2 linked regions of the Arabidopsis thaliana genome follow. The protein of the gene in region 1 interacts with the protein of each later gene in a pairwise test. Each region holds a gene or a part of one and is shown on either strand. Other genes may lie near its edges. The genes, in order: TRB1 and AT2G17540.

The links.
Region 2: the proteins of TRB1 (region 1) and AT2G17540 interact in a two-hybrid assay, tested with the Arabidopsis thaliana proteins (one large-scale study listed by BioGRID).

What each region holds. Positions count from the first base shown.
Region 1 is NC_003070.9:18,493,497-18,499,207, reverse strand, and holds TRB1 (telomere repeat binding factor 1), read left to right. Parts: upstream 1-1,889; 5' UTR 1,890-2,079; exon of another isoform or gene 2,080-2,286; intron 2,287-2,457; 5' UTR 2,458-2,494; coding exon 2,495-2,644; intron 2,645-2,748; coding exon 2,749-2,957; intron 2,958-3,339; coding exon 3,340-3,424; intron 3,425-4,026; coding exon 4,027-4,110; intron 4,111-4,286; coding exon 4,287-4,646; intron 4,647-4,754; coding exon 4,755-4,769; 3' UTR 4,770-5,137; downstream 5,138-5,711. Other genes in the region: AT1G49960 (Xanthine/uracil permease family protein), read right to left, coding at 1-97, 418-508. UniProt on the Arabidopsis thaliana protein: Binds preferentially double-stranded telomeric repeats.
Region 2 is NC_003071.7:7,629,822-7,633,750, forward strand, and holds AT2G17540 (uncharacterized protein), read right to left. Parts: upstream 2,106-3,929; 5' UTR 1,923-2,105; intron 1,727-1,922; exon of another isoform or gene 1,712-1,726; 5' UTR 1,669-1,711; coding exon 841-1,668; 3' UTR 540-840; downstream 1-539.

The sequences.
Region 1 (5,711 bases):
TCGCCACCACCCATTAGAGGGACGAGTATGGAAGGTATGATTACAGTAGTTCCAAGCATTACAATGTAATGTTGAAACCCAAGAACTATTCCTTCCGCTGCACCATTAATCATATAAAACCATATCATTTTCTCAAACATATATTGTTGACAAATCAAAGAGAATTTGGTGACGATCGACTAAATAACTCATATGAATAATGGAAACGCTTCAACTGAAATTTTTGTTAAATAATCACAAACGCTTTAAAAACGAGTTTTGTAGATTAATAAGAAATACAACCCTAATTTAAACTAAATCGTATAGTTCATCACTATCGGTGAAACATAAATTCATTATCCTAAAGACTAAACATAATTTTACTGCTAATAGAACACAACTATATAACAAAATCTAAATGAAAAGAAAAAAGCATACGCCAATTTGGAGAGCTCGAGACACAAAATTCGACTCCGGGAAGCTGATCTTTAACTGGAAATGGTGCAAAATCATCGGTCTTTGTTGCCATATCTCACTCGCTTCGAGAAGGGCTACTCTCTTTGTGATGAGAGCTGTAAATTCAAACTAAGGCTTTGCTTAAAACGGATTCAAAAGTGCTAAGTAATCGTTAGGCGGGCAACTTTGTTGACTCTTTCTTGCTTTTTTTACTTTCTGTCTTGTGTTCTCGTGCACGTAATTAACACTAATGCTATACGTAGAAAAATGAACCGGATTAAACCACTGGTGTGACTTAACCAGAATTGTCCACTTGTATATTCATGTGAAGAATATGATGTTTAATATTACAAAGTCTTTATAAGTAGCAAATTATTCTCATCTTAATGCCAAAAAAGTATACAACTAACTCCATCCACCACTTAAACATTCTCTTTAACCAATATCAAGAATTATAACTAATGACTAATTGGTATGACTTATTGTTGGCTTAATGAAAATAAGATAAAACAATAGGATTATCAGTTAAAAAATCCAGAAAGATTTAAGGAGGTTTATTTTGAAATAAATTTGATGAATTATTGTTGCTGACTTGAATTATTATCAAGTACATATTTCATATCATAAATAATTTTGGGCTCATGAGCTAAAAATGTTAATTTGGTAATTTAATAATTTATTTTGGATGGAACTAATTGCTAATGTTTTATTTTGACTGTAATTTGAAATTATTTGGACAATTATTAATTTAAACCCAAATATGAAATTAGTTTGTATTATAAAATCATAAATATCTAGGTGAAATTAGAGAAGGTTCTTTCTTTTTACTGAACATCTGCAGAAAATAAACCTAGTAAAACAAATCAACTAAAACTATGTTCAACGAACTTTTCTTTTTTTTACGAAATGATCTTTATATTTCAAATTTTGGAGAAATTCAAAAATAAATAAATTATAAAACTTTTTAATGTGTTTAAAACAAGTGTATAGATTTGGAAAACTCTCAAAATATCGCAACTACCATGTCCACAATTTTTTTTTAATTAGTGGTACAGTCAACTAGATAATTTTCAGAAAAAATAAACAATAGAGAAAATTCTATGGATAAAATGAAAATAGCATTTTTGAAAAAAAATATCACAACTACCACCCCACCACACATTTCTGAATTATATCTAGCAACATATTTGTATTTTATGTTCAAAATACCACTTAATCATCAAATTTTTAATCACCACCAAAACTTTCAAACATAAACCAAATTGTTCGTGTAAATATGATCTGGGTCACTGCGTATTAGTTTTGATAATATATTTTCTTGACAATCATATTAACACTTCATTTGGGGAATTTGATATTTTCTTTATCATTATTAAAAGTTGAATTTGTAAATATTTAGACAATTTATAATCTTCAGAATATAATAACTAGCGTAAACAAAAACGCGTTTTAAGGCCGTTTGTAAAAAACGCGTTTTAAGGCCGTTTGTGAAAAAACGCGTTTAAAGCTTAATTGGTCTAAGCGGTTTGCCGCATCAGAATTGACGGAGGTCCGTTACTCTGAATCCTTGTATTCGCATTAACCCTAACTTTTTCTGCTTCCCAAGCGTCTCGAAATCTGAATCCAGAGATTAAACAAAAATTGGTATTGCGAATGATCGATTCTTCTTCCTCTAAACTCTGATTCCTGGTGAATTCATCTGTTTCTTCTTTCTCGATTGTGTATATTCTCAGCATGAGATTAGGCTTCATTCTGAAAGAACGGATTTTTCTAGGGTTTGAGTTTCGGCATCTTTCAGTGATGTGAAGTTGGTGTTTGCTATTGCGTCTTAGTTTCTGAACTATTGCTGCGGTATAGTTTGATAATCTATGTTAGGGTTTCCTCGGAACAGGGAATTAGGGTTTTACTATTCTGTGGTATTTGATGATGAATTGTGAGCTACAACTGAAGAAAAAGTTTACATTTTTATGTAGAAACTTTAGTTCTGATTGGTTTCGTGACATTTGATATGTATTGTTGCAGAACGGACTTGCTTTGACACAGCAGACCGTAAATCGGGATGGGTGCTCCTAAGCAGAAATGGACTCAAGAAGAAGAGTCAGCTTTAAAGTCTGGAGTTATAAAGCATGGACCTGGTAAATGGCGCACAATTCTCAAAGATCCTGAATTTAGCGGAGTCTTGTACCTGCGTTCCAATGTTGATCTTAAGGTCATGATTACTTCTTATCCTTTTTGTCAGCTTTGATAATGCTACTGTATTTTGTTTGTGATTTTATCTGACTGGGAGATGGTTTGTTTATTGTATTGGGACAGGACAAATGGAGAAACATGAGTGTCATGGCAAATGGCTGGGGATCGCGCGAAAAGTCTAGGTTAGCTGTTAAAAGGACGTTCTCCCTTCCTAAACAGGAAGAGAACTCACTAGCCCTAACCAATTCTTTGCAAAGTGATGAAGAAAATGTGGATGCGACCTCTGGACTCCAAGTTTCTTCTAATCCTCCTCCAAGGAGACCTAATGTAAGGTTAGAAATGTGTCTATTTTGTTTCTTGTATTGAAGAGGAGTTGCTTTGTTGTATCTCTCTCGCTGGTATTTCTGAAGTTGGATTACATCTCAAAATGTATGGTTTGCCGTCACTTTTTATTCTGTGCAAGTCGATAAGTGTTGGATTACATTCATGTGATATGGGTTTGTTTTCACACCTCTGTTTAAGTTGTCTTCACTGGCTTAGTACATTTCTCCTCCTTCTTACTATTATCATGCGAGCCGTTTGCTCAATCCTATCACTGTGGCTTTATAATTGTGAAATTATGATGAGGATTTGTAAAGTCCCACTTACACGTAGATGTTTGTATCACTCAAATCTTTTATTATAGACAAATTGTAACTTTTAAAAACGTTGCAGGTTGGATAGCCTTATAATGGAAGCAATAGCTACCCTGAAAGAACCTGGTGGCTGTAACAAAACAACAATTGGTGCCTACATTGAGGTATTCTGTTTTCGTTCTTGCATCTTTTTTTTCTTTTCTCATAGACAATATGTATTATTAAATTGTTACTCTCAGCTAAATCGCATCGTGTTACATTTCAATTTGAATGATCCTCAGTGGGTTGATATGTTGTCAACTAGAACCTGTGAAGCATTGCGGATGAAAACCAAAATATAGCCTTTGGTTGTGTCAATAGAATATATTCCTCAATATCAATATAGGCAACGGATGTGGCAGTTTTATTGCAAGGCAATGGGTGACATCTTTATCTTCTCCTCTCCTGAATAGACGAATGTGCATTGAATATCCTGACTGAAACTAAGCTGAAAGGGCTAGAAATATTTCTGTAATTACGAGATTTATTGTGGTGGCATCTACTTAAGTCGATATAATTATGAGAATATCGTAAGAGTAGATTCTGTAGTTAATTCAGAAACACGCCAATGACATAAATATTTTCGTCTACTTATGTGATTCAAGCATGGGAAATATTGAGTTCAACTTGTACGATTACTGCTTTGAAGATTCTTTGTCTAAGTTCCTTGTAAAAGACTGATTTAGAGGACTGACTGTACCCGTGTTCCTTTTTTTTTTTTGTGTAGGATCAATATCATGCTCCACCAGACTTCAAACGCTTGTTGTCTACCAAGCTAAAGTACTTGACATCTTGCGGGAAACTTGTGAAGGTAAGAATTCCTACATTCATTTAATGCTTTTGAGTGCATATATTTTTGGTCTTTTGAATAGTATGTATGACTTTTTGTGCAAATCAATTTAGTTCATGGATGTCAGTAGAACAGAGACATATCCATTATTCACTGCAACTTGCGAGGTTTATTGATCTGGGCTTTCTCTTTTACAGGTTAAACGTAAGTACAGAATTCCAAACTCCACTCCCTTGTCTTCCCACAGGAGAAAAGGTCTGGGGGTGTTTGGAGGAAAACAGAGGACTTCTTCTTTGCCTTCACCTAAAACAGACATAGATGAAGTGAATTTTCAGACAAGGTCACAGATTGATACAGAGATAGCCAGAATGAAGAGTATGAACGTACATGAGGCGGCAGCAGTTGCAGCACAGGCAGTAGCAGAGGCAGAAGCTGCCATGGCAGAGGCTGAGGAAGCTGCAAAGGAAGCGGAGGCAGCAGAAGCCGAAGCAGAAGCAGCTCAAGCTTTCGCTGAGGAAGCTTCAAAGACATTGAAAGGAAGAAACATCTGCAAAATGGTAAAAAAAAGAAAAAAACACCCATATTCTTTTATATCACAAGACATTATATCTATGAGAGAACTTTGAAAATCTCAAAATGCTTTTGTTGAAAATGTGATTCGACAGATGATCCGTGCCTGAGGTAATGGAAAGCGAGAGAAGAAGGAGACTAAATGTGAAGAGAGAGTAGAGAGAAGCCTAGTGTTTGTGTTGATCATTCTCTTTACTTGGGAAGTTGTTTTTTAGTAGTAAGCAATCAAATATGTTTGTCAGTATGTCGTCGCTCTGACTCTTTTGATTCCTGCACAACTTTTGGGAAAAAATGTTTTATTTGGCTCTTCTCACTCTCCAATATACATACAACTATCGTTAGTAATGTGTATAATTTATAGACCGATCTATCTATGCACTATCATGCTTATCGCCAATGAGCATTTTGATTATGTATGTATTATCAATTAATAGTAGTACTGTTTTTTTAAGATATAAAAGCACAATGACTTTGGGACACTATATGGATCGTTTTCGGGTTCAGAAAAGGAATTAAATCCTTTTAAATCCCCTGTAAATCTTTTAAAAACTCTTGTAAATCTATTTTCTATTAAAATTATTTTTTCTGGGGAAAATGATCTTTTGGAAGAAAAAAAAGTTTGGCGGGAAAATTTTTGTCGGATTTTTTTGGTCGAAAAATTATCTTCGGAATAATTTTGATAGGAAAAATCATTATTATATTTTTTAAACCTAAAATATTTTCAAATAAGAGTAAAATGACCATAAAAAATCAAAAGATGGGATAAATGAAAATAAATTACAAAAAATGATAGAATTGAAAAGGAGTAGTTTGAAAGGGCATTCCTAACAATTTCTCCCGATTATATATGTAGTTGGGATTATTAGGTGATTGACAGATATATATATAATCATCCGAAATTTGACATACTAAAATAATTTGTAATCATTGATATTAAAAATAAAAAGACCATGGTATTTTTACTATAATTGTGATTCTGTAAAGAAAATAATACTATGCCACTCACAGTCACTGCATAGCCAACATAGGATTAGAACCAAACCGAGTCAATC
Region 2 (3,929 bases), on another chromosome or scaffold:
TGATAGTGAGAGTCGAAGACCTCAAAGAACCTGAATGAATACGAAAATTCTGTTTCTTTTAAATCACATAAACGGCTGTTTAATTTGGAAGATTTCTTCACTTTCAATAACAAGTCTACCAATAACCAATAGATATAAGATTTATGAATCACTACAAAACAAAATCATGAACCAATAGATATCATCATCTTATTGACACCCAAGGATTAACACTAACAAAAATGTAATTATCTAAACAATCTAAATGGCAAGATGGGTTTCACTTCACATGTGAACGTGACGGTGACGGATCATTTTTGTTGTGGGTTGCTTTGTCTTTAGACATTTGCAAAAGGAAAAAAATTGTGACGTTATATCTCCTCCAACTACGAATATTCACGTGAATCTGCACGTGACCCAGTTGTAGCCACACAATCAAAAATCAAAAAAAAAACTTTTTGTTATTGTAATTAGTGAAAATTCTCTTCTTGAAATTAATATAGATCTTATTGAAATTATTATTTTTATTTAAACAACACAAAGAAAGAACACAAGTATTTTCGAAGATAAATTAGTCTTAGCACTGGGAGAAAAATGACTTAAAACAAAAGAAACATAAAGGCAAACAACAAAAAGTCATCACTTTAATAACAACACTTACACTGATTAAACAACCAACATACATATACAAAATCTATGTATCTAGATATTATTCCCAAAATATACAACATAAAATCAAACACATTACCCAAAAAAGCAAAACAAGATAAAAATAAACAACATTAAGATTGTACTGAAAATGACAATGCTGTTGAATCTGCACCTTCTTACCTCTTTTAGGTGTAAATACATATAAGAAGACTATGAACGTACAACTTTGTTCTGCTTCACACATTCCGGTGACTTTAAGTCCTGACACTTCCATGATGGTCGTTCTATAACCTGAGCCACACCACCATTATAACCTTCCGACTTACTTACACTTAGATTGTTTTCCTCTAATGTGATACCGTTTTCTTGATCCTTGTAGGCACACATGCTCAAAGGGAGCTTCACTCTTCCTCTTCTTTTCCCTAATGAGCTACTCTCTTCCTCTGTTTTCTCCTTTAGCGTGTTATCGCATAAGAGCAGCTTCCCGTTTACTCTGGTTCCGTCATCTGAATCCACAACACCAGCAACATCATTCCCATCGTTCATAGTACTAGTCAGAGTCTTTTGCTTCTTGTTTCTGTGACCAGAACAATCCGTCAAGACTCTAGGAGAATTGTTTATAGCTCGAATCAACCTAGGCTCTTTACAAGAAACCGTCTCAGCTGCGGGAAAAGAAGCAAACAATTCCAACGCATTCTTGGCTGCAGCCACTGCTTTAGAAGCAATGATGGCCTTCTCATTAGCAGTAGCTCTCGCCGCCTTTGCAACCTTAACCGCTAAAGCAGCGGTTGCTTTCGACGCCTGAGCAAGCTCTTCCGGGGACCGAGTCTGGTCATTGAGTAGATGGTCGAGATGATGAGTGTGCACAACTGCTGAAGCAGAGGAACCATTTGAAGTTGTAGTAGACGAGGACGAAGAAGCGAAAGGAGGACTCGGAGATTCATTGCTGATTCTCGAGTTCTGGTTCTTGAATCCGGCGAGTAAACGCTTCCGTGGAGGTAGAAGCGAATCGGACTCAAGGCACGCATTTGTCGCCATTTATCTCGAATTAAAATCCTAAATCAGGATCACATTATAGAATCTGTAACAATCAATACTTCAAACAAAGACCAAATCCTCAAAAACATCACAGATCAAAATATTTAATCCTTAAAACCAAATTATCAACACTTGATCAAACAAATTCTCATAAAAATCATAAAGGAGAGAATTTATCAATTATAAGGTGGTGATTGATCAAAGACAATTGCTCAGAGTTTAAGAATCAAGCTAGAGAGTTCCTTATAGAGTACCTGAAATTACAAGATGAATTCACGAGGATGCTTTGAAGTTACCTTATCATCTCTCAAACAGAGATGAGAGATACAAACACAGAGAGATTGAGAGATGGAGAAATTAGGGTTTTCAGAGAAATGGGGAAGAAGATAGAGAAGAGAGGAGATTTGTTTTGTATTGTTGCCATCGCTCTCTCTGATCCGTTTTTCGTTTTTATATGTAAACCCTACGAATATCAGTTTTAATTATCTCTTAATTGTTATTTTTTTACTTCTATCTAAATTAACTTACGTTTCTTTCTTTTACATTTACCTTTTCCATGGAAAAGTAAACCAGAAAATTAACTTGACAACTACTATTTGCTTTTCGTTTTATTACTAAACTGTAATAACGGCCGTCAATAACTCTTTGTTTTTTTGTTGTTTTTTTATTTCTTAACGGAGCTAATTAATAAGTTAACAGTAGTATTACAGATGTAGACTTTCTATTTGTAGAAATTAAAAAAATGACTTCATAGATGTACTGGAGGCCTTTTTGGCAAGTTCATGGCACATTTGGTAGCAAAAGTGTTTCAAGAGGAAGCACAAACTATCATAAACTCAACCATTTTTCTTTATCAAAAAAAACAAAAAGGAGTCTGCTTACCACAAGAAAGGATCGATGGTTCGAAAACTTGACGTCAACAATCCTGCAAGAGAATTTTTCTGATGAAGTAAACCACCATAATTTATTGGAAGAAGTCTGATTTGTGTTGGCCGACTCAAGAAATGCTCTCTATCTATAGTAAGCTCCATGAGCGTATAATGAATGAACTCCCACTCTTCCACTTGCCTCTGAGTTTTACAATTCATTTTCATACGCTTCATTAGTCTCTAATTGTTTTAGGCCCATCAGCAAAAATATATACAAACAAGCCTGCAACTTCTTCTTTTTCTTGGCAACTATAAGCCGGATCATTTATGGGATTAGCATATTAAAGTCTGTGCTTTTGTAGATATAGGAACATCTCATGTTTCTTACAAATTTAGGTACTTTTATATTATATGGATGACTGTTTTATCCTTCAATCTAATTGAGTTTCTTCTCCTTGTACCTTCAATCTAATTGAGGAGAATTCATCAATATCAATCGATCTCAGAAATGTGCGATTATTTCTCTCTCTTTCTCTTTCTCTAATGGCATGGAATCTATTGCCTCTAAACTCACCATTGATGTCCATTGCTTCTCCATCACCTTACAAAATTCAGATCTATGCTTGGCCAATCTTCTTCCTCGACGATGCAGGTGGTAATCTTCCATAGCTTTTTTGAATTTGAATTGTTTGATCTGAATTAATTTCATCCTCTCTTGCTTCAATTTCAAAGAGGGATAAGAAACAATTGAAAATTTTAATCGACTCCAATTATTTAAGATTAGTATATTTGGGTTCCCTATATAATATCTTCTTAGGGTTTAGCTTTCTTCCATCAAAAAGCTTTTAACTGATTTTATTGGGGTTTATCTGAATTGTATGGTGATGAAACGTTGTTAACAGATTTTCTAATTTTTGTCTCTATCGATTTTGTTTCCGTAAATACATCTTTTGTGTATATATTGTCTTGTACAAAGAAACATTGATTAAGTAGAGAAATAGGATAATCAATCTCTGTACTTAATACATCATCCATTGAAGCAGGTTAGGAATCGATCCAATATGAGGCTCTGCAAAAACAATTCAGAGAAGATTCTGCAAAAACAATTTAGGAGAAGAAGGAGTGAAATCGCAGGGGCAATTTGGTCAATTCATTTCCCAAAAACTGCCTATCTTCATAAGCCCAATCATAATGTGCTCTTTCTCTAATTTATGGCCCAAAATGTACCCAATATTATAAAAGCCCCAGTATAAGCCCCCAATTTCTGAAAGTTTTTAAATTTGCTTTTATTTCCTAAAACTTGTCTATAAAAAAAATTTCCTGTAAAACTTTTTTAGTTTGGGACCCTAAATTTTAAAACCGGCCCTATACAAAACCTTGAGATATCTATCT